Astyanax mexicanus: one gene and its partners. The protein of the gene in region 3 binds, or shares a complex with, the protein of the main gene of each other region. Links are inferred from orthologs where the notes say so. Each region holds a gene or a part of one and is shown on either strand. Other genes may lie near its edges.

The links. The genes of interacting proteins can lie anywhere in the genome.
Region 1: smarcc1a (region 3) and actl6b share a complex: the UniProt entries of both Homo sapiens proteins name them as parts of the BAF complex. The link is inferred for Astyanax mexicanus from reciprocal best matches to the Homo sapiens genes SMARCC1 and ACTL6B.
Region 2: smarcc1a (region 3) and arid2 share a complex: the UniProt entries of both Homo sapiens proteins name them as parts of the SWI/SNF-B (PBAF) chromatin remodeling complex. The link is inferred for Astyanax mexicanus from reciprocal best matches to the Homo sapiens genes SMARCC1 and ARID2.

The regions. Positions count from the first base shown.
Region 1 is NC_064420.1:26,446,984-26,454,343, reverse strand, and holds the start of actl6b (actin-like protein 6B), read right to left. Parts: upstream 3,003-7,360; 5' UTR 2,524-3,002; coding exon 2,499-2,523; intron 1,448-2,498; coding exon 1,371-1,447; intron 1,202-1,370; coding exon 1,036-1,201; intron 1-1,035. UniProt on the Homo sapiens protein: Involved in transcriptional activation and repression of select genes by chromatin remodeling (alteration of DNA-nucleosome topology).
Region 2 is NC_064409.1:38,200,814-38,208,678, forward strand, and holds the start of arid2 (AT-rich interactive domain-containing protein 2), read left to right. Parts: upstream 1-4,863; 5' UTR 4,864-5,872; coding exon 5,873-5,964; intron 5,965-6,090; coding exon 6,091-6,184; intron 6,185-6,980; coding exon 6,981-7,078; intron 7,079-7,865. UniProt on the Homo sapiens protein: Involved in transcriptional activation and repression of select genes by chromatin remodeling (alteration of DNA-nucleosome topology). Required for the stability of the SWI/SNF chromatin remodeling complex SWI/SNF-B (PBAF).
Region 3 is NC_064408.1:129,661,286-129,668,383, forward strand, and holds the start of smarcc1a (SWI/SNF complex subunit SMARCC1), read right to left. Parts: upstream 3,003-7,098; 5' UTR 2,988-3,002; coding exon 2,787-2,987; intron 1,090-2,786; coding exon 970-1,089; intron 1-969. UniProt on the Homo sapiens protein: Involved in transcriptional activation and repression of select genes by chromatin remodeling (alteration of DNA-nucleosome topology).

The DNA.
Region 1 (7,360 bases), on a different chromosome or scaffold from region 3:
CTCCATCTGTAATGAGACACTGATGCAGCTTTAGTACAAGTTTATATAGCTATATATATATATATATATATATATATATATATATATATATATATATATATATATATATATCAAAGCTTAGAATCAGACTACATTTATTATTGGATGAGAGTTTTTTTTGTATGAGCGGTTAATATACAATCCAATCTATAATACACGATAACATCCAATATACAGTACCAGTCAAAAGTGGACACACCTTAATTTTAGGTTATTTTCAGTATTTTAACATTTCTGCATTGTAGATTAATACTAAAGTCATCCAAATTATAAAGAAAACATATGTATGGGGAGTTGTCCCAAAAGAATCCTCTTTTTATTCCATGATGCACTTTTGTAGTGGTTAGTGTAGTGAATAGGGGTTAAATATGGTCTGCAGTGTTTGCTATTCTGTGTTGTTAGTGGTGTTTGTTAGCTCTGCTCTGCTGTGATACTCACTGTACTGGGCCGAGTGAGGTACTCTCAAGAGGGGTATCAAGTTAGTGGTGTTAAAATGTTTAATCTGCTTCCTCCACAAGATTCACTGGTTTTACATATTATACAAACATTTTCGCTTAAGTCAGATACAGTAAAAGCAAAGTGGAGCCAGCATAACACTGCCTATAATGAGCATCTGCAGCCATGTACAGGCTCTAGAATTTTGCAGAGCTACTGTTATCCTTAACTGAGGATATGATCTAAAAGGGTATCAAGTGGAATATGGCTATTTTAAATATCTGCCAATATCAATACATAGCCGATCAATTGTCCGTCTCTAGTTCAAAAGTCTCAAAACTGTTCTGCACTGCAGAGTTAGCATGGCTAGCTGATTAGCACATTGAGGTGGCTAGCTCCTCATTCTCCCTGCTCCACTCGCACTGCAGGCAGGCAGATATATAAGGTATGAGTGACACACTGAGAGGTGAGACAGGTGACCAAGATGACCAAGTAATAAAACAGTGAGAAACTAATCAAACAGAATGGTAGAATTTGATTGTGTGTGTGTGTGTCTCATACTCATGCCGTTCTTCAGTGGTGATATCAGCTCCACTCCAGGTCGGGGTACATGAAGGGCTGTGGTGTCCATGTAGAAAGTCCGCCCGCTGTTGTTATCTTGCTCCGCCCCCATCTCTGCAGGCCCCTCCTCCTCTACATGCACTCCTAAAGAGGTGGGGAAGTCTGCCTGCAGGAGATGTGATATAAACAAGGTGTATCTAAAGGTGTGAGGCTTTACATCAGAATATTTTCTGCTTATTCATACACTGAAGGTGGATAAATGTAGGTATGGATTAGTGGATGTTATTAAAACGATAGATGGATGGATAAATATATGGATGGATGGGTAAGGGTACCTTAGGGCAGTCTTCACCAGCATAACCTGCTCTAGTGGAGAAGGAGCCGATATCAAACACCAATGCCCCCACCTCATCTAAGAGAGAGAAAGAAAGATAGTGTGAATGAGAGAGAGAGAGAGAAGTACAGTAAGAGAGAGACAGAGAGAGATGACAGATCTACAGTAATGATATAACTAAAGTGATGATGGATTAACAGAGATGTAGCCACAGTAAGAATGGGGTTACAGTAATGATGATACAGTAATGACAGAAAGGGATGAGGCTTTAACAGGCTTTTATACAGTGATGGTGGAGTTACAGTGATGACAGAATAACAGTGATGGCAGAGCTACAGTGATAACAGAGCAACAGTGATAACAGAGCAGCAGTGATGAGAGAATAACAGTAATGACAGAGCTACAATAATGATGGAGCTACAGTGATGCCAGAGTTACAGTAATGGTGGCAGAAGTAGAGTGATGATAGCTACAGTGATGACAGGGCTACAGTAATGATGTAGCTACAGTATTGCCAGAGTTACAGTAATGTTGGCAGAGCTAGAGTGATGACAGAGCTACAGTAATGATGGAGCTACAGTATTGCCAGAGATACAGTAATAATGGCAGAGCTACAGTGATGCCAGAGTTACAGTAATGATGGCAAAGCTAAAGTGATGACAGGGCTACAGTAATGATGGAGCTACAGTTATGACAGTTACAGTGATAACAAAGCTAAAGTGATGATGGAGTTACAGTGGTAAAATCAATAATAGAAGCAAACGATGGAGCTACAGTAATGATGGAGTAAAAGTGATGGACAGCACTACAGTAATTATGGAGCTACAGTGATGATGGAGATACAGTAATGATGGAGCTACAGTGATGATGGAGTTACAGTGATGACAGAGCTACAGTAATGATCGAGTTACAATGACAGAGCTACAGTGATGACAGAGTTACCGTGATGACAGTTACAGAGATTACAGAGCTACAGTAATGATTGAGCTACAGTGATGACAGAACTACAGTGATGACAGAGTTACAGTGATGACAGAGCTACAGTGATGACAGAGCTACAGTAATGATTGAGCTACAGTGATGACAGAGCTACAGTGATGATGGAGTTACAGTGATGTTTCTCTCTTACCTCCACCGTAGACTCCACCACTCATGTCTATCGCTCAGTCCCTCCAGTTTCACTCCTCAGGCGAGTCGTGTGCAGAAATTTGTTGTTTATTAGTCCTGAAGTCCTGACTGACACGACAGGCTAAATAATGCTCGTGCACGTGCCTCTGCTCTTCCTTCGAGAGCTGCAGCTCGGCAACAGCTCGCCAGTGTGCGCGTGCGTGCACCCGCCGGCTGAGAGAGAAAGAGAGAGAGAGAGAAAGAGAGAGAGAGGGCTCTAAGGTGGGATCATCTTTTCTGCAGCAGAATGTAAGTGTGTGGACAGGAGTGTGTGTAGGTGTTTGCGTGTGAGAGGATTTGGAGGTGGTACAGTAAGCTATATAATTCACTAAGAACCACACTCAGAACCCCCATCTGGTCCTGTTTCATACTGAGGAACTTGCAAAATCAACAATGAAAGAGAAAAGGATGAAAGAAGTGAGGGATGAGGAGGTATGCAGAAGGTGAGAGTGACATGGCGGTCCTTAAGCTGTTCTGAGTTTAGAAACGGTCAAACTGCACCCCCTGTTGGTGGCTGCAGTACTGCACACACGCGCGCGCGCTGCAGCTGATAGGCTAACTGATAGATGTTTTCTATAAAACATGAATGGTTTACTTTAGTATAGAACATATGCTCTAATCCTAAGACATGCTGATAGAGGCACTTGTAATGTTGTGTATATTTTAATTATTATTCTGTTAAAAAAATTGTCTGAAAATAAATGGTTCCAATACTGTATAAAACAAAAAATACATTGAATTAATACAGTAATCTAAATAAATATTTAAATAGAAGATAATGAATATGCATGCACTTTGATATCTAATAAACACGTGTATATTTATAAATAATAGCATTTGTTTTTATCCATGTATTTTATTTGGACTATTCGTGTTCAAATGATGGACACTGACACAAACACAATGAATAAATAATAAATACATTATAATTTACAAGACCACATATAAATAATGTATTTTTTACAATCCTAAAAAGATTCTTATAAATATTTTGTAAGTAGTACATGTACAACTGAGTCGTTGTAAGTCTTTTAATATCTAACCACCTTCAGACAGCCTGTACCTGTTTTACTTAATCGTATTTATTCTTTTATTTTTATTTTAGTCCTCTCTTAGTTATTTATTTCCTTTTTATTTCTTTCATTATTTCTTTTTGTATTTTTTGTTTTGTATTATTACATTTTAACTTATTAAAAGTTTATGATTATTATTGTTATTATTGTTTTTTATTTATAAATGTTTATTTTTTATTGTACTATGTAAAAGTTAGTTTTAACTTAATATTAACAGTTTTTTTGTATTACTCTTATCTTCTTAATTTCTTAGCAATTAAACCAAGTTTTATTATTAATATGATTTTTTAAAATCTATTTTTATCTTTTATTTACTGTTATTTTTAAATTATTAAATGTAGTTATTATTTTCTTTATCATGTCAATCCCTGTATTTGTAAATGCTCAGCTACATAAAAAAGAGGGTTGCCCTAGATGTACTTCCGAGTCAAAATAAAGGTTGATTGATTGATCGGTTTATTGACTAATACATATTGATCTAATTAATATAACTTACTGTTAAAAACGTGAGTGAGGACTTTTATTTGTGAGGTCTGTATTTACCCAGGCCTGTTATTTATGTGTTGCTCCTTTTTAAGCTCCTCCCTGGTGTCCGGTTCCAGCAGGACCACCTTCCCCACCTCCCCTCCGCTCGGTCTTTGAGGGGGGATTCCGTATCCGAGAGACTGTACCGTCCCCCCCTCCGCAGCGCTGCAGTGGTTCAGTCCGGCCGCGCTGCGCTGAGAGCGGGCCGCACAACGGCGCAGCTGCGCGGGGGAGCACGGGGGGGAAAAGTTTTAGTTCTTACTGGACAGGACCGGAGAGAGTTCGGCCATGGGGGAAATCTAACCGGACACACACTCTCTCACACTCACATACACACACACACACACACACACACTCACACACACACCACCCGCTTGGACAGCAGCGCAGCCCCCCGTCCCGGCGAAGGTGAGTGTCTCCCGGTTCGCTCCGAGGGTCCGGTGGAGGGCGGCCCGCGAGGGCTAGCGTTAGCACGTTAGCGCTGGAGGTAGAGAGGGGCTATGGGAGGGGTCGGGGGTACTGTAGTTAACACACACAAATTAGAACAGGGTCAGTGTTTTAAAGAGTGGGTGAGATTGACAGTGAGCATCTGTATCTGACCATTTCTGTCTTAATGGAAATGTTCGGTCCACCTTAAATGGAGAGTGTAACTGCTGCAATAAGGTGGAACGAACTATTTCAAAAATACAGCTTAACAGCTTAGTTATTTCTTACTGACAAAATGTTTGTTCGTGCGTGTGTCCTGTGACAGCTGGAGCGGTGTCTCTACACACTAATCACCATCCCTCTCTCCCTTTTTCTCTCTCTCTCTCTTATCTCTTTTTCTCCCTCTTTCTCTGGGTGTGGGGTGGATTAAAACATGGGTATAACTATCCATCAAATGATTTTATATATGTGAAAAGGGAGAGTGAAGATAGAGGGAAGCAAAGGGAAGAGAATGTTAGAAAGGACTTCATCTAGAGAGAAAAAGAGAGGGAGAAAGAGAGGGGAGGAAGAGAGAAAGTGAGAGAACTAGGAGAGTTTGGTCTGAAATATTTTAGTAGTGATGTAAGGCTACAGTCCTGCTCACCTCAACTCAGCTCTTACACACACATCTAGAACAGTGTGTGTTTATTGTGGCTGAGTTCCTTTTCTGATCTAATAATGAGCTAATTTTAAATCCACACACTCTGTGTGTGTGTGTGTGTGTGTGTGTGTGTGTGTGTGTCTGTGTGTGATGGCTTCTCACCAAGTCTAAATCACCTGTTGAGAAACATCTGCTCTCACACACAACTCTGATTTACACTGCTTTGATCATTTCAGTCTTACCCACACACACAAACTTTTACACTGCTTTGATCTTGTCAGTCTTGCACACACACGCATATGCTATTGAGGGAGTGTTTTTCCTCTGTGAGTGAGTTCCATGGTGCTTCCTTTTCCAGCGGAAGTGATGTGAGAAATCCAGTCACAAGTGGTCACAGGACGTGCATATCAAATGCCAGATGGACTGGCAGTACATTTTGGCAATCAATTATGATTGGGTCTCCCAGGATGTATGTTTGTGCAAGGTGTGAACATTGCAACTGACTAAAGAATGTAAAAGTAAACATTAGAGATTACCTCAGTTTGAGACACAGCCCCTGAAGCTAATCTAAACTAACACAGGATCCTGGATCCTGTCAACTGTGTTCTGATTGGCTGTACATGTGAATGTCCACGTGAATATTTTCAATACTGATTCTCTTGCTTGGTTCATTGATAGAAAATGGAAAAACCTACAGTATGTTTAAGGGTGTTTGTTTACACAGCAGCACTTTTTAAACGGGTTAACGCCGACTCTGGTTTATTTGCACCCCTAGAGCAGTTTATTTTGGCTGGTGTGAAAAGGAGGTAATCTCATCTCAGCTCCAAACGAACCCCCGAAACGCATTGTTTGAGGTGTAAACGTGGCCTGACCTCGATCTGACCCAACCATCAAATAAATTGAATTGAATTTGACCTGATTTGTTATCTAGATAATTACTACTGCTGTTGACGAATGCTATCTTTGACACTGCTCTAAAATATGTGCTAGTCTGGAACACCGCACTATTTTCATGCATTTACTTTCTAGGTCTGCCCCAGAAATGTTTGACCAATAATCAGAGAGAAAGTTCTCTCATGGTTTGTTGTGATGCATTTTGTTCTATTTGCAGTTTTTTATGTGTGAACCCAAAACAAACCAAAGACGGTGACATTCCAAGTTAATAAACTTGTTAACTGCTTCGGACCAAAGAAAGAAACAGATGTTTTGACTTAAAGTAGTGTTAGGTGCTTTAAAGGCTCCCTCATGGACAAGCTGTACACAAGCATTTGTTGACAAGCTGAAAGACACAAAAGCAGCGGTGGACTAAGAAGGTAGAGTAACCTTACAGGAAGTTACACATAGGGCTTGTTTAACATGTGTATATATATATATGCGTATTTAGAATTTTTATGAGAAATAGGAAATAACAGGATAAGTGTGGGTGTTATTGTTCTTTTATACTGGAAAATAAAAACGTATTTCTTCTGGTCAAACCGGGGAGGTATTGTAATACAAGTGTAAACAGAATTCGGTCAAGCATATAGATACCATCCAGAGACAATGGCAGGTGTAAACAGGCCCATATATGAATTGGGTTACACACTGATACAGTACTGGAGAGCAGTGTCATACAGCTTCAAAGTTCTGTAGTGCAGTATCAGAATTTTGGAGTGGAAATGACAAAGTTGCCATTCTTGCTGTTGCAGTCAGTTTACCATCAGTATGATTCAGAAACTGCTGTTTTAAGACAAACTGTATGGACTAAACTGTCTATATATGGACCACCTGCTCATTCATTGTTTCTTATGAAATTAAATGTATTAAAAAAAGAGTAGTTTTTATTGGAATATCTCTCTATAACTTCTCTACTGTCCAAGGAAGGCTTTATACTTGCTCAGACCTGGCATGAGGCATGATGCCAGAAGGTTGATCTTTATCTACTCTAGAATAGGGGTGCATGATATGGACAAAAATGTGATGTGCAATAAGAAGTTGGATTTCCATTACTGTGGGCCTCTATCTCACATCCCCTCTGGTGTAAAGTCAAATTCAGTCGCTCTGTGCTTCTGGTATAAAGGTGGGACCTTTACAAAGGAAGTGAAAAAACTGGACACTCTTAACACAGCTCAGGAAAAATTAAGAGACCGCTCTAGTTTCTGAATCAGTTTATCTGATTTT
Region 2 (7,865 bases), on a different chromosome or scaffold from region 3:
TTTCACCTGTTATTAATGTTGAGCAGAGGCCTTTCAACCTGATCAGTGCTTAAATTCACATGTAAATCTAGTGAACTTTGTAGGATATTCATTAAGTGAGTTAGAACTAGTCAAAAGGTGTCTACATGTTATTGGTATTGATCAGGTGGCTTCAACCAGAATGTTCACAAAGTGGTATTCAGATTGACCTTTGAACCTTTGCAGAACAAGCTGAAATGTTTGACCAAACAAGTTTAAATTAACACAAAGGAGTGAATGTTCTGATATGACATGTAATGTCAAGTTATTCTTAATCTAGTTCTGTATTAAATGGCGCTTCATCAGAGTGATATTGTACAGAGGTCTTTAACATTGTGAGATTACAGCAAATACTGCAGAGTTACAGCAATTTAGGTTAGAAATTCCAAGGACGCACAGATTGCTTGATGCCTGGAGAGTATTGTATGTGAAATTTTCACAAATGTTTTTAATGAACATTTACCTAGAGACTCTACAGTGTGCAGCAAGACTGAAATGGAGGTGATAGGCCAAATATCCAGAGAGTAGTTTCAATATAGCTATTTTCAAACAATTAGCAATTATGAATGAACAAAGCACTTTTTAAACATAGTTGTATTGAGAAATTTGTCAGAGCCACTGTACTAAATATGGCAAAAACAATTAGATGTCAAAATAGTACAGCATGATTGACATATACTCGTTTTTTTGGAACAGCGCCCCCCAGTGGGCGGATTGTTTCAGCACTTTGCAGGTCACTACAGTGTCTCCACCTGAACATAACTGCCAAATATAATCCAGATTGGGCAACATTCAGCCTGCCAAAATGTCTGCTGAATGCTGATTGGCTGATGGTGTTCAGCCATGTTGATTGATTAAGTTGCCCTTTGAACATCCTTTAGAGGCTGTATGATAGATTCTGCATGCAAAGTTTCAACTTGCTAGGTTGCACGGTTGCTGAGAAACAGTGCTCCAAATTTACCTCTTGAAGTGAATGGGGCATATATCCGGAAGGACTAATTTGCATATGGCGGCCATATTGTTTACATATTTCAACTTTTTCTTAATGAATATTGAAGCGCATGCTCTCACGAGTGTTTTGATACCAAACATGCCAGGATTGGTCAAAATTCCTAGGACTAGTTTGCAAAAGTAGGTTTTGCATATTATGCAAATTAGCAAAAAATCTATATAGACGGAAGTGCATGGTCCAAATTGGAAAGTTGTTGGTATTGACCCAAGGAATCCATCAAAAAAAGAATTTTGAATGTAGGTCTTATGGTTTTTGAGTTATTCAGAAAATTGTGAAAAATGAATTTCCTTGTTTATAGCGCCACCACTTGACCAATCGGTGCCATTTTTGTTGTCCACCGAGATCTACCTACCAAGTTTAATTTCTCTATGACTTACGGTTTAGGCTGCACAACTGTTTTTTCAGGAGAAAAAGAATAATAATAAGAAGAAGAAGAAGAAGAAGAAGAAGAAGAAGAAAAATCTTAGCAAAAACAATAGGGTTCTACGCACCTTCGGTGCTTGAACCCTAATAATGAAGTCATGGGCTTGGCTTAGTAAAGCACTGGAAAGAGATAAGTAAGTTGTGGGCATGGCTTAATAAGAAACAAATAAAATAATGAAGTCATGGGCTTGGCTTAGTAAGGCAGAGATATGAGATAATTAATGTGTGGGCATGACTTTGAAAGACAGATATGAAATAGTTAAATCATGGGCATGACATAGTAAGGCATGGGAATTAGATAATTATTTTGTGGGCATGGGAAAAAGACAAAGTCATGGGTATGGCTTAGTAAGGCAGAGATATGAGATAATTAATTTGTGGGCATGACTTTGAAACACAGATATGAAATAGTTAAATCATTGGCATGACTAAGTAGGGCATAGATATAAAATAGTTAAGTTGTGGGCATGACTTAGTGTGGCATGGGACTGCAGTAATTAAGTCATGGGCGTGAATTAGTAACACACAAAAAATAGATAACTAAGTTGTGGGCATGACTTAGTAAGGCATAGGAACAAAATAATTAAGTCATGGGCAAGAATTAGTAAGGCATGGGAACGAGATAATTAAATTGTGGGCATGACTTTGAAAGAAAGATATAAAATAGTTAAATCATGGGTATGACTTAGTAAGGCATGGGAATCAGATAATTATTTTGTGGGCAATGAGCATGACTTAATAAGACATGGAGAGGAGATGATTAAGTTGTGGCCACAATTTAGTATGTGGAAACCAGATCTTAGACTTACAACTTAATTATTTGTGCCTTAACGCGAAAGGTCAAATTATCTTAAAAAAAACAACCCTGTTATCTTATAAAAGCATTTTGTATTATCTTGAGACTACAATAAAAAATATTTGTGATGCGGGATTGGATTCTTTCAGGATTTTCATGTGATTTTGCCATTTTTACGAAATGACTTTTTTTCTTAAACATTACAGTTAAAATTGTCGTCGCCTCTTTTTTTGTTGTTGTTGCTCTGTTTCACTATTTTCTATATTTTGATATTTGACTGTACCCAGACAGCAGGCGACTCGGATCCGGATCTGTTTTACCTCCAGCAGATCCTTGAGAATACCGGTGTATAACTGGAGGTCAGTCGAGTCATGTTGTGCTGTAGTGCTGTAGAGAGGAGTCAGTGTGTACTGCGGTGGTGTTGGCGATAGAGGGCGCTGTTCACCGCGGCTTAATGACTCCCCGGAGGACGATCAGCACTCTGCTCAACTGTCTTTCTCTGTCCATTCATTCAGGACAGTCACTCTGTGCACTGTCTGAAAGTCAGAATGACACTTTAATCAATGAAGAGCAATAAAAATAATTTATACTGATACTCAAATTTGAAGAAATGCGGTTTTTAAACCAAATTAATAATCGAAATTTAACTAACACACTAATCATAGCTACACTAGTTACATAGATATGGAATAAGCCAATACATTATGCATCAACATCTGCATAGACAGAAATAAAGAACATTTATAACCTATTAAATGTATTTTTATTATACACGTTTTAAACGACTTATGAGGTCCGTAGTATTTATGGACTAAAGAAGCTGGTGGGCAAAAACGGGTTAGCTAGAAACAAAAGCCAAAACAAACACACACAGTATAAATTAATGAATGTTTGTTTATTGGTTATTTATGTATATTTCTGAATAAAAAAAAGCACAGTAGGGTGAATGTGGTCGAATCTCGAAGCTGAATCTTCTCTCAATTTTCAGATTTGTCAATTTTTGTATCTTTCAATACAGATCTGAACTTGCAAAATAATCATATATATATATATATATATATATATATATATATATATATATATATATATATATATATATATATATATATATATATATAGTAAGGGGCAGAGATAAAAAAAAAACTACAATTGGAAAAATGGATGAAAACTTATTTATTGTACACCGCACTTCATTTTTAAAAAATAATGAGTTTTTACATCCAATTTAATATTTTTGCATTTTACCTCAAATGGTCAGTAAATGTAATTAATAAACGTTACACTGGCCGAATGTGAAAGCCTGTAATGATCTGTGGTGGCGGGGTGCAGTAGCTGTGCTCGGGCTGCTGTAATGTATTATAAATCTAACGCTGGTTCACAGTTAACAGCAGCAGCAGTCTAATGGTGGCGGCGGGTCACTGAGTTCAGCCTCCCGCTCGGGTTTCAGACTACACAGATAAACGCAGGACGGCTATAACCCGCCGCACACTCGAATAATAAGAAGTATGTTTACCTCAGAAGCTTAATGACTGAGATAACAAAGCAGTAAATGCCCAGAGAGCCGCGCAGCAACTGAATTAGCTACAGACCTGACTGACATATTAAGCTAAGCGGCTAACGCCAACTAGCTTAGCTTAAGAAATGCTAGTGAGCTAACCGTCGCGGGTGAAGGTCGGCGGTTTAAACGCGGTTTTACACCGAAAACCAAACCAAACACGCCGATATCTAAACCGGTTTATCCCACAGCGCCTCTTAAACTAAACACAGCGGCGGGCTGGATGTCAGAGGATGGGTTTTCGGCGGTGTGTGTGACACAATATGTGTGTGTAAGTGTGTGTGAGAGCTGAGACAGCAGCGGACAGGTTACAGCGGATCTGTAGCCGAGCAGTAGTCGGATCATGTAGAGAATCGTATTCAATGTTTCCACTCCACCTTAAATAAAGTAACAGTTACACTTTAGACACATGTAGCTACTGAAGGAGCAACATATTAATGTAACCGATGCGATATTTAAGGTGGAATTGAAGAGCTGCGGGCAGGTGAAGTTAGTTCATTAGCTGCCGTCTCCAGTGGAGCTGCTGTTTCCGCGGAGCTGCGGCGCGGCTCGCCGGTGCTAGCTAATGTTCCCCGGTGTAACGCAGCCAATTCGCGTTAGAAAAAAGCCGTTTAACGACAGATTTTCCCATTGCCGAAAGCCGTTTCAGTTCAGTCCTCCTCCGTGTCAGTGTGACAAAATGGGGTCTTTGGTGTTGAGCTCCGCCATTTTGTGACAGAGCGCGCTCCGCTCAAAGGGGAGCGTGTAATGGTTGAATGTAGTAAAGCCGTCAGTTAGAGAGATACACGCCTGGCAGCGAGGAGGAGGAGATACCAGGGATCAGCGGCAATTTACACTTACACCAACAGACAGCACTCACTGCTCACCACTGAACACACACTGTTCAAGAACAAACACCACAGCGCGGAGCCCAAAACTCCCCACTACTCAGGTGTTTCTACCTGTACCTGTATGTTTAAAATACATGCACTCATGTTTTTGTAGGGCTGCCCAGATGAACTGTAGCCCAAAATATTAAATTAATTACATAAAAGTAAGACGAGCAGAGGCGAGTTGATGAGGTCTTTATTTTAAACCCAGTTGAGTCAGACTCTTAATGACAAACAGGTTAGGGTTAAATAACAATACATATTGTTGTAAATTATTCAAAACTGTTTAATCTCTATAATTTATTTTTTTGTTTTCATGCAATTGTTTTTACAAGTTTGTAAAAATGAATAACAATAACAGCAACAATTATTATTATTTCCATTCTCATTTAGCAAACTAATCAACTTTTATTTAGTTATATATTTTATTTATTATTTATTTTGTCCCTGTCAGTGAAAATATTTTTTTTCCCCACAGAGATGTATGTAAACTATAAGACCTGTTTTGGTCAGGCAGCAGCGCTGTAACCTGCCGGGGGCTGATGTATTTTTACTCGTCTGGTGAATTTGGTGTCTCCCCCCTCCCCCACAGACGCTCTCCGCTCTGTTCAGTTTTAACGGATCTCGGAAGTTTCAGATGAGCCCTTAAAAAAAGAAATAAAAAAAGGAAAAAACTGAAAACACTGTCTGTCTATTGTTCCGCCGAGGCGCCTCGGCCGGTGCACTACCTGTGCGGGCGGCGCGGGGGCGCTGCAGAGCGGCCAGGGCCCGCGGCCTCGCTCGGGTCTTTTTGTTTGAGAACTGGATCCCGCTTCACAGTGTGTGTGTGAGAGAGTGTGTATGCCGCCGCGTCTGTAGCACACTGTCAAAACCACTCCAAAACCAACACGTCCAGCAGCCAGCACGGTCTTCATTTTTACATCTCGCGCCATGGCAACGCTGGTGTGCCGTTGAATCCGAGCGCTATTCCGATGTTTTGGCCGAAGTTAGAGCGGGCTCGGATCAGGTCTGTTTTCTGTGCGGCTCCTCTCAACAGTCCTCATTAGCTGAGAGCTGGCGCTCTGCTCTCCCTTCGCCGTTTCTTTAACTTTTTAAACACTCAGCCTCGCGAATGACTGAGCGCCGCCGGAGCATGGGATCCCCGGCGTCGTAGGAAGCGAAGCAGTCCGGGTTTTGACCGCTTTTGAGGATCCGAAACGATGGCAAATTCGACGGGAAAAAGCCTGCCCGAGCAGCGGAGGAAAGGACTAGCTTTCCTGGACGAGCTGCGGCAATTTCACCAAAGCAGAGGGTGAGAGGAGGGGGGATGCCTTTTATTCGTCCAAATGTTAAACTTCAAGCTGCTTAAAGTCGTCCGGAGCGGCCGGAGCGTCCAGTCCGTCCTCGGTTAACCGTGTGCTTCTTTCTCTTTCTCCAGGTCGCCGTTTAAGAAGGTCCCGCTGGTGGGTGGAAAGGAGCTGGACCTGGGCGCTCTCTACTCGAGAGTCGTCTCTTTAGGTGGATTCGCTAAGGTTAGTGCGACCAAAAGTGCTCATAAATGCCTCTCTCCGGAGCTCTCGGCGGGGCTTCTTGCCGGCTCCTGTGGCCGCCGGCTCGGCCTGGAGGTTCTGGCGTATTTAACCGATTTCCAGCCCGAGTTTGGGGCTATAAAATGGCCTTGTGTGGTGAAGCCTGTGTGTGAGCGAGAGCGAGGGAGAGGGGGAGAGAGAGAGCGGGTATGAATTGAAAGTCCGGGATGTTAGCGGCTCCGCTGCTCCGCCGGGGAGTGCGAGTGCAGTTTGAGCGACTCCAAACCAGCGGCGGAGGCTAAACATCGATTACCGGCGGGCAGCACCGCGGGCTCGGCTTTCGGCCGCGCTTTTCCACCGCGCTCGCTTGGAGGAAGCTAGTAACTCGCCATAGCCTGTGTTTGGCTTCGTGGCTCAGCTAAACCGTAGGCCTCACAGACAGGCCTGTTTTATTCAGCACTGTAAATACAACATCACACGAGCCCAAATGCCCTCCGCCGCCGCGGCTCTCCACCGCGGGGACGGGTTCGGGCTGGGGGAGCCTCGCTGTCGCGGCTCGGGATTTTTTGTTGTTTAAAAAGTGCGGTTAGCCGGACTGCTAACGGTGGTTAGCAGGCTGCCTGATTCAAACTGCTGTAGCTGGTGACCGGGCGGCAGGCAGGCGAGCACGGTCGGCTCATCAGCTCGCATGTGCTTGTCAAATCGAAGAAATGCCGACTTTATCACGAGCTTTTATATCCTGTGGATGTCCACAGACTCATGGACGCGTGTTTGTTTTGTTTATCTCCCTCTTTTGTAGGTCTCTGACAAAAACCAGTGGTCTGAACTTGGCGAAGAGTTTAATTTCCCGAGGAGTTGCTCCAACGCTGCTTTTGTTTTAAAACAGTACTACCTTCGGTAAGTCAGCGTGTTTCCCTCCTCAGCCATGTGTACACACACTCACTCACTCACACACACTCCAGCCGCTCAGCGGGCCACCGGCGCTCTCAGCTTCACACCTCGGATAAAACTCACTCATTACAACTTTTATCTTTTCGGCTCCAGGAAAGTTTTTGTGTTGTGTTCACGAGGCTCAGCTCAGGCCTTTGTCTCACTCTCTCCGTGTGCTCTTTGGTCTCCTACAGCCGGTGGGAGTTTTAGGAGCCTGAAACTTTAGCATATGGTCTGTTGTGGCTTTGTTTACAGTATAAGAGCAACACCAACAGTCCAATTCTCACACATCAGAACATCTCCCTGATGTTTTTGGTCATTTCAAACATCCAGGTTTTTAAGTACACAAGCACTGCAGTGTTTAATAAAAAAAGTATGTTTTTTACTGCTGAGAAATTAGACTACAAAAGTCCTTAAGTGAGTAAAAAAAATTAAAACTACTGTTTCCTCCTTTTTTCTTATTTAAAGTGTCTGTATGCAGTAATGTGGGTGCTGTGTCTTACATGTGGCCAATTAATTGTAATTCATTTCTCCATCTTTTTAGTATATGTTGTAATGTGAGTAGTAGGTGAGGCATTTTTCCCCCTGACCTTTTAAATAGATATAGTAATGCAAGTGTTATTACTGTGATGTGCTTTTAGTGGTTCAGAGGGGAGATGTTATACTTGCACCGTTTCAAAAACAAAAGGTGAAAAAGTATTTAGCTCTGTTATTTTTGTACCTATACCGGTATTCTGCATTTTTGCACGTGCAG
Region 3 (7,098 bases):
AAGTTTTGTAGACCAAATTTCCATGACTTTTTCAAAGGTTTCTGGGTATTTTAATTTCTCCAAAACTAATTCAGGTCTGGAAAACCTTCAAAGTTTTTCCATGGCCGTACGAACCCTGCTATTAACAGGACGTTTGCGCTGAAATCACCATGAAAAAAAATTGACAATGTGCATTGTGGAAAAACACAATTTCATCTTCTGTTTAAGAAATGTTATGCAGCTGCAATGTTTGAACACCTGAGGTCACAATCCATCTAGTGCAGGCCAAGGAACCAGTGGGCGTAAGCAAAGAGCGGAGGACAGGTCAGTCATTTCTGACTGAAGAAAAAATTAATTTAAATCCTGATTATAGTTGCCAACATGTTATATACACCTTCATTTTTAGCTTTCAACCAACTGTACACAAACATTAAAGTGAAAGGTTTCTCAAGAAAATAGTTTATGAATTTTCACATTTATCGAAATTTAACCCTCTATTAAATTAGAATAGATCTATTGTGTGTGTGTGTGAGTGTGTATATACACATTATATATATATATATATATATAAGCTTAAACCACTGGATTTTAAAAGTAGCACAGCCAGTGTAGATATTTTATAGACAAATTGTAGAGCAGTGCTCATGCAGGCTTCAGTACTGACTTCTGAATGAAATAATTTAGTGTAATGCATTTAAATGTTTTAAGGTATTGCATTTTAGACATTTTAAGACTTTAAGACATTTGCGGGAACCCTGTAGTAACGCAGCCAGCAACACTGTTTTTTTTTTTTCAAGCATACGATAAACAAGTCTGCAAAACTCTGTGTAAACCATCTAGAATACCCAGTATAGTTCAGATTTTTGTGCAACCCTAATAACAATAAAGCATCACTTCAGCTAACTCTGCAGACCTGAGTTTATCGTGCCACACAAGGAAAGAAATGTACGATAAACAGCGTGGAATTAGCGTCTGCAGAAAAGCACTTACGGGCAGTTTGGTGAGGGCCGGGTTGCTCACTCTTCGTCCAAAAGCGTCCTCCTGGAACTGGAGCAGCTGCACCACCAGCCCTGCCAGAGTCTTACAGGATGGAGAGTCGGCCTGGACATGCTGCAGAAAATACGAATACAAAACCATACGTTCAGAACCGGCAGCCATAAAGTTTTAATAAGCTATGTGTATATTACTTTACATTATATTGCATTTTGCAGACGCCTTTGTCCAAAGCGACTTACAATAGTGAAGTACAGTAAAAGAAAAGTTATAGAAGTTAAAGGTAAAACATCTTTAGACAGGGTCTAAAGGAGGTTAAAGGGGAATAATGGGATAGAGGAGTAAAGGAGGGGAAGAAGGAAATGAGGTTAGAAGTAGTTAGCTTGTTTGCTATGTTCAGACAATGTGTTCACTAAACCAGATATTATTAATGTAATGGAATGGAATACCAAATGTCTGACTTATTATTATACCTGCATAAGTATCTCAATACCAATACTGAAAAGGTTTAAAAAAAAAATACATCAAAAACTGAATATTAGGAGATCGAACATGGAACTCAAAAGTTAGTTTTTTTTTTAACAAACAAAATGAATAAATGTTTAAAATTCAGATATATAGTGAGCCATAGGTCAGTGTTTTACATAGAAAATCAGGGGGCATTCCAGTTAAAATTTCCTACTTGGCACTCAGTAATTCTAATATTAGAGTTCAAGTGGAGGTTACAAACCATTGTTTAAATTAGGGTTTTTAAATATGGCTTCCACAAACAAAAAACTAAAAGCCATTAATTAATGTGTTTAAGAGGTAAAGGATAGTTTTACTTTACTACTGCAAGCGTGATACAGAGGCCATATTCACGAATACTTTACTACTTTAATACTTACATGACATAGTAATGTAGTAGTGGATATTTTTAAAGTAAACAACAAAACACTTCTGTAAGTCGCTGAGGATATGGTCTGCTAAATACTTAAAAAAAAGTAAATGTAGGGATTTTTTCACCAACATTTATGCACCTCACATTCTAAATTTCACATTTTCTGATTTTTTTCTTGCATTATTTTCTATACTAACTGTCGTCTAATATCTAAACTATTGTTTTAACCCGGATTAACCTTCATTAATTAGTTACCAGCACGGCTAAATTACTTTAACTCGTCTAACAGAACTAAAAAACAAACAATCAGACCGGTTATATTGTGATAAATATTATTATTATATATTTAAACCCCAGAAACAGAGAAACAAACTTCACCCACACAATGAATCAAACCGTCTACCATCATAAACACCCCTAAAACCAGCAGATATTTAATTCACACTGGATATAAAACAGCCCAGGCAGCGTTATATCAGCTTATTTCATATTATTTCAGGATTTAAAGTGGATTAAACTTGAATAAATTATAATAAACCAGGTTAGATAGAGTAACAGCCGTTAGCTTAGCCGCCACTACACACCAAAACACTGTTAGCTTAGCTTAGCTTTAGCGTACTTTAGCTCGTTTTTAAGCAGATTTACGCTTTAAAACACATAAAAAAACAAACTATTACCGACCATAAACTAATAGATAAAAGAGTTGTGCGCGGTTTAAACTGATTAAATGCTGATTAAACGCGAATAACGCTGTAAAACTGTGTGTTTCAGCGGGTTAGTGTGTGATTTAGCTCCTCGCGAGCTCTATTGTGTTATTGTGTGTGAGCGCGCGCCACGGGCCGCATTAGCGTTAGCTACGTTAGCATTAGCTACACTAGCATTAGCTCCAGCACGGGTTTTACACAGACCGTTAGCATTAGCATTAGCCGCTAACCTTCTTGTAGTGCTTGCTGATCCACTGCCGCACAGCCTCCAGCTGCGCCACGGTCTCCCCGCTCTCCCAGAACTTCCCCGCCGGTCCGCCGTCCTTCTTCCTGCCTACCGCGGCACCCGCGGCTCCCGCCGCCCCGCCGGTTCCAGTCCCGGCCCCGCCGGACCCCGCTCCCCCCGCTGTTCCCGCACCGGTCGCCGCCATCCTCGCGCCGCTCCACTCGCTGCAATCCGCGCCTCGCCGCGCGCTGCGCTGCTTTACCGCCGAGCGCGAGAGGCCCCGCGAGCTCACACGCGGCAGCGCCCCCACAGGCGGAGCAGAGAAACTGCAGCAGGACGCTAAAAAAAATAATTCGATTAATCACAACAAAATTCTGTGATTAACTGCGATTAATCGCATTTGGGTTTTTTTTTTCAGACGCGAATTTTTATAGTGGATATTTAAATTAATGCAAGATAATTAATGATACTTAATAAATAATTAATGCAAGAGATGTAAAATGCAATTATATGTATATAAGTGGTGTCAATTAAAATTATAGTATATACTTGTATGTTTGAGTGGGGGACAGCCAACTTGGTGCCTTAATTAACTTGGTAAATTAATTTAAATTGGTATAGTGATTCCAAATTAACAGCGCACAATAACACTTTAATACATTACATTACTACTGAGCCCCTAACATGACATCATGTAAAAAAGAGATGATTAAGGTGTGGGAACGAGATACTTATGCGTGGGAATGAGATACTAATGCGTGGAAACAGGATAATTAAGATGTGGGAATGATATCATTAAGACACGACCACAACTTATTAACGTGTGGGAACAAGATCCCAAGGAATGGGAACAAGATAATTAAGGTGTGGAAATAAGATCATTAAGGCGTGGGAATGAATTAATTAAAACAGTGCTATTAAGGTGTGAACAAAAGGTCCTTTTGTTTCACAGCTAACAAAGCGAGCAGCTCTACTGTATGCGTCTAAGCCAATCAGCTTTTAGTATGCAAATTAAGTGTCTTTTACTTTATTCCAAAATATCAACATAATTTCTTAATTTCCTTATTTTTCTTTATTTAGAATAAAAATAAACCAGTTCACTCTCCATTTTCTTACTAAAGATTATATTTGGATTAAATATGTAATATACAGTTTCTTCATGAGCATTAATTTACAGAAAAGCAAGCTTTATTATTCTCAGCTAGATTAAATGAACTCGTTCCCATGCCTTAATGATCTCATCCCCACTCCTTAATTATCCAGTTCCCACGCCTTAGGATCTCGTTCCCACGCCTTAATAAGGCATGGTCATGCTTTTATTTTTACATGATGTCCCTTTATGGGCTCCAGACATAATATTGCATTACATTAAATTGCATTACATACACTCACAATATTTAAATCACTCGATCAGTAATTACGCCCCCTGGTAACATCTAATCATCTGTGTCTGATCGCTATCAGAGGCACACTGCTCAGCCCAATCAGCTCTTGGAAAAATATGAGCAATAAATAATGAAGCAATGCAACATGTGTGTCAGAGAGATTTTTCTCCACAATACAGCTAAAAAAATTTTTTGCATCACTTTTAAAATGTGGCAATGTTTTCTAAAATACTCATAAGAGCTTAAAGGCTAAAGCTACCGGACCTAAGCGCTACTTTATAAGAACTAATACGCTAAAGCTAGCAAAGCTAGGCACTGGGGCTTGCTGAGACCAGCTTCCTGTTAGCTAACAGGGTTAATAGCTTGAGATAGCGAAGATCTGCAGAAACTCCACCTATAACACATTCATTAGTAACTTGAGGTGTTTAGGAGAACAGGTTAGCTGTTCACACGAACATCGCTCTGTCAGTGACTATTATAATCATTAATAAAAAAACTACTAATGCTATTATATTAATAAAACACTATTGTTTTAGTTTCAGTGATTTTACCTCTTTAAATAACAGAAAATTAAAGTAATATAAAATTCATTTATAGAAAAGTTATTGCATATTATATATGTCATTAATGAAGAATGAAAATAGTGTGAACTTTTCTATCAAACAAGTTTTTTCAATAAAAAATATATAGTTGTTATTACAATAATGATCATATAATTTTTCCATTATCCTGAAAGAAGGTGTGTTTAGATCTTCTTGCTGGGAGAAATGAGCATTGCATCCATTTAGTGTCATTAAGATGTTCTGCATATTATACAAATAACATCTGGCATGTTTGTGCTCTTCCAATACTGATATAAAATATTATTTGCTACCAAAACAGATCCACCGAGTACTGCGGTAAAGTTAGTTTTATGTCTGACATTCGTGAGAGATTCGGAATTCTGGACAAGTCTTTTATTTAGCAGGTAATTTCAAACTAACAAGTCAGGCCACTAATCAAAAGTTTTCTGTTTAACAATGACAAAAAGACACAAATTTTATACATGTAAAAATGGGTCATATGTTCTCCAGAAAGCATCTAAGACCTTAATAATGACTGTAATACATTTTGTTTTAATGATCACTGCTTTAACATTAAGCACCAACCTTATACAATTTCATCTTCATCTTCTTTTTGCAGTATCACAGAGCGCACTGTGCGCATTATTAGGGTAATTACGGTAATTTCACAGTGTGTTTATCTGCCGCTGCAGGTTATTCTCTAATATCAGTGGTGATAATAGAACCAGTGACACCATTTGTCATATTTTAACCTTACTTATCTTAAAATCATCAATATCTTCCAAATGTTAAACACTGGAAGGTGCAGTAATCTGATTAATCCACATTTTTGTAATGTTCTGTGAGTGTTACAGGTGTGTAAAATAAAATTGTGCTCCACTTCAGTCCTCCTGTGCTCAGTAGAAGTGATAACTCTCATAAACCTTTACTGTAGGCTGTGTCCTACATCCTTATTTTGTTGGAAATCGTGTTACATAACACAACTTTCTCAGAATTGAACAGCAGAACATGGTAACCCTTTACTAATAACTGAAGAGTTGCTGTGTTCTTCTTAAGAAGTTAATGCAGATTATATCACAGTATTATAAACTGAGAAACATGGTAACTAATTACTAATAGTTGAGGATTATTTAACCTAGCTAACTAACCGACATCTAAACTAGCTAACGTAGCTAGCTTACTAACACAAAAAAAAACAACTAACACACATACAAACTAGCTACACAACTTAGCTAGCTAACTAACACACCTCACCTAGCTAACTAACACACATTTAACCTAGCTAACTAACACACATTTAACCTAGCTAACTAACACACATTTAACCTAGCTAGCTAACACACATTTAACCAAGCTAACTAACACACATTTAACCTAGCTACTAACACACATTTAACCTAGCTAACTAACACACCTCACCTAGCTAACTAACACACATTTAACCTAGCTAACTAACACACATTTAACCTAGCTAGCTAACACACATTTAACCAAGCTAACTAACAAACATTTAACCTAGCTAACTAACATACATTTAACCTAGCTAACTAACACACATTTAACCTAGCTAACTAACACACATTTAACCAAGCTAACTAACACACATTTAACCAAGCTAACTAACACACATTTAACCAAGCTAACTAACACACATTTAACCAAGCTAACTAACACACATTTAACCCAGCTAACTAACACACATTTAACCAAGCTAACTAACACACATTTAACCCAGCTAACTAACACACATTTAACCTAGCTAACTAACACACATTTAACCTAGCTAACTAACACACATTTAACCAAGCTAACTAACACACATTTAACCAAGCTAACTAACACACATTTAACCAAGCTAACTAACACACATTTAACCCAGCTAACTAACACACATTTAACCTAGCTAACTAACACACATTTAACCTAGCTAACTAACACACATTTAACCTAGCTAACTAACACACATTTAACCCAGCTAACTAACACACATTTAACCAAGCTAACTAACACACATTTAACCCAGCTAACTAACACACATTTAACCCAGCTAACTAACACACATTTAACCCAGCTAACTAGCACACATTTAACCAAGCTAACTAACACACATTTAACCAAGCTAACTAACACACATTTAACCTAGCTAACTAACACACATTTAACCAAGCTAACTAACACACATTTAACCAAGCTAACTAACACACATTTAACCTAGCTAACTAACACACATTTAACCAAGCTAACTAACACACATTTAACCAAGCTAACTAACACACATTTAACCAAGCTAACTAACACACATTTAACCCAGCTAACTAACACACATTTAACCTAGCTAACTAACACACATTTAACCTAGCTAACTAAC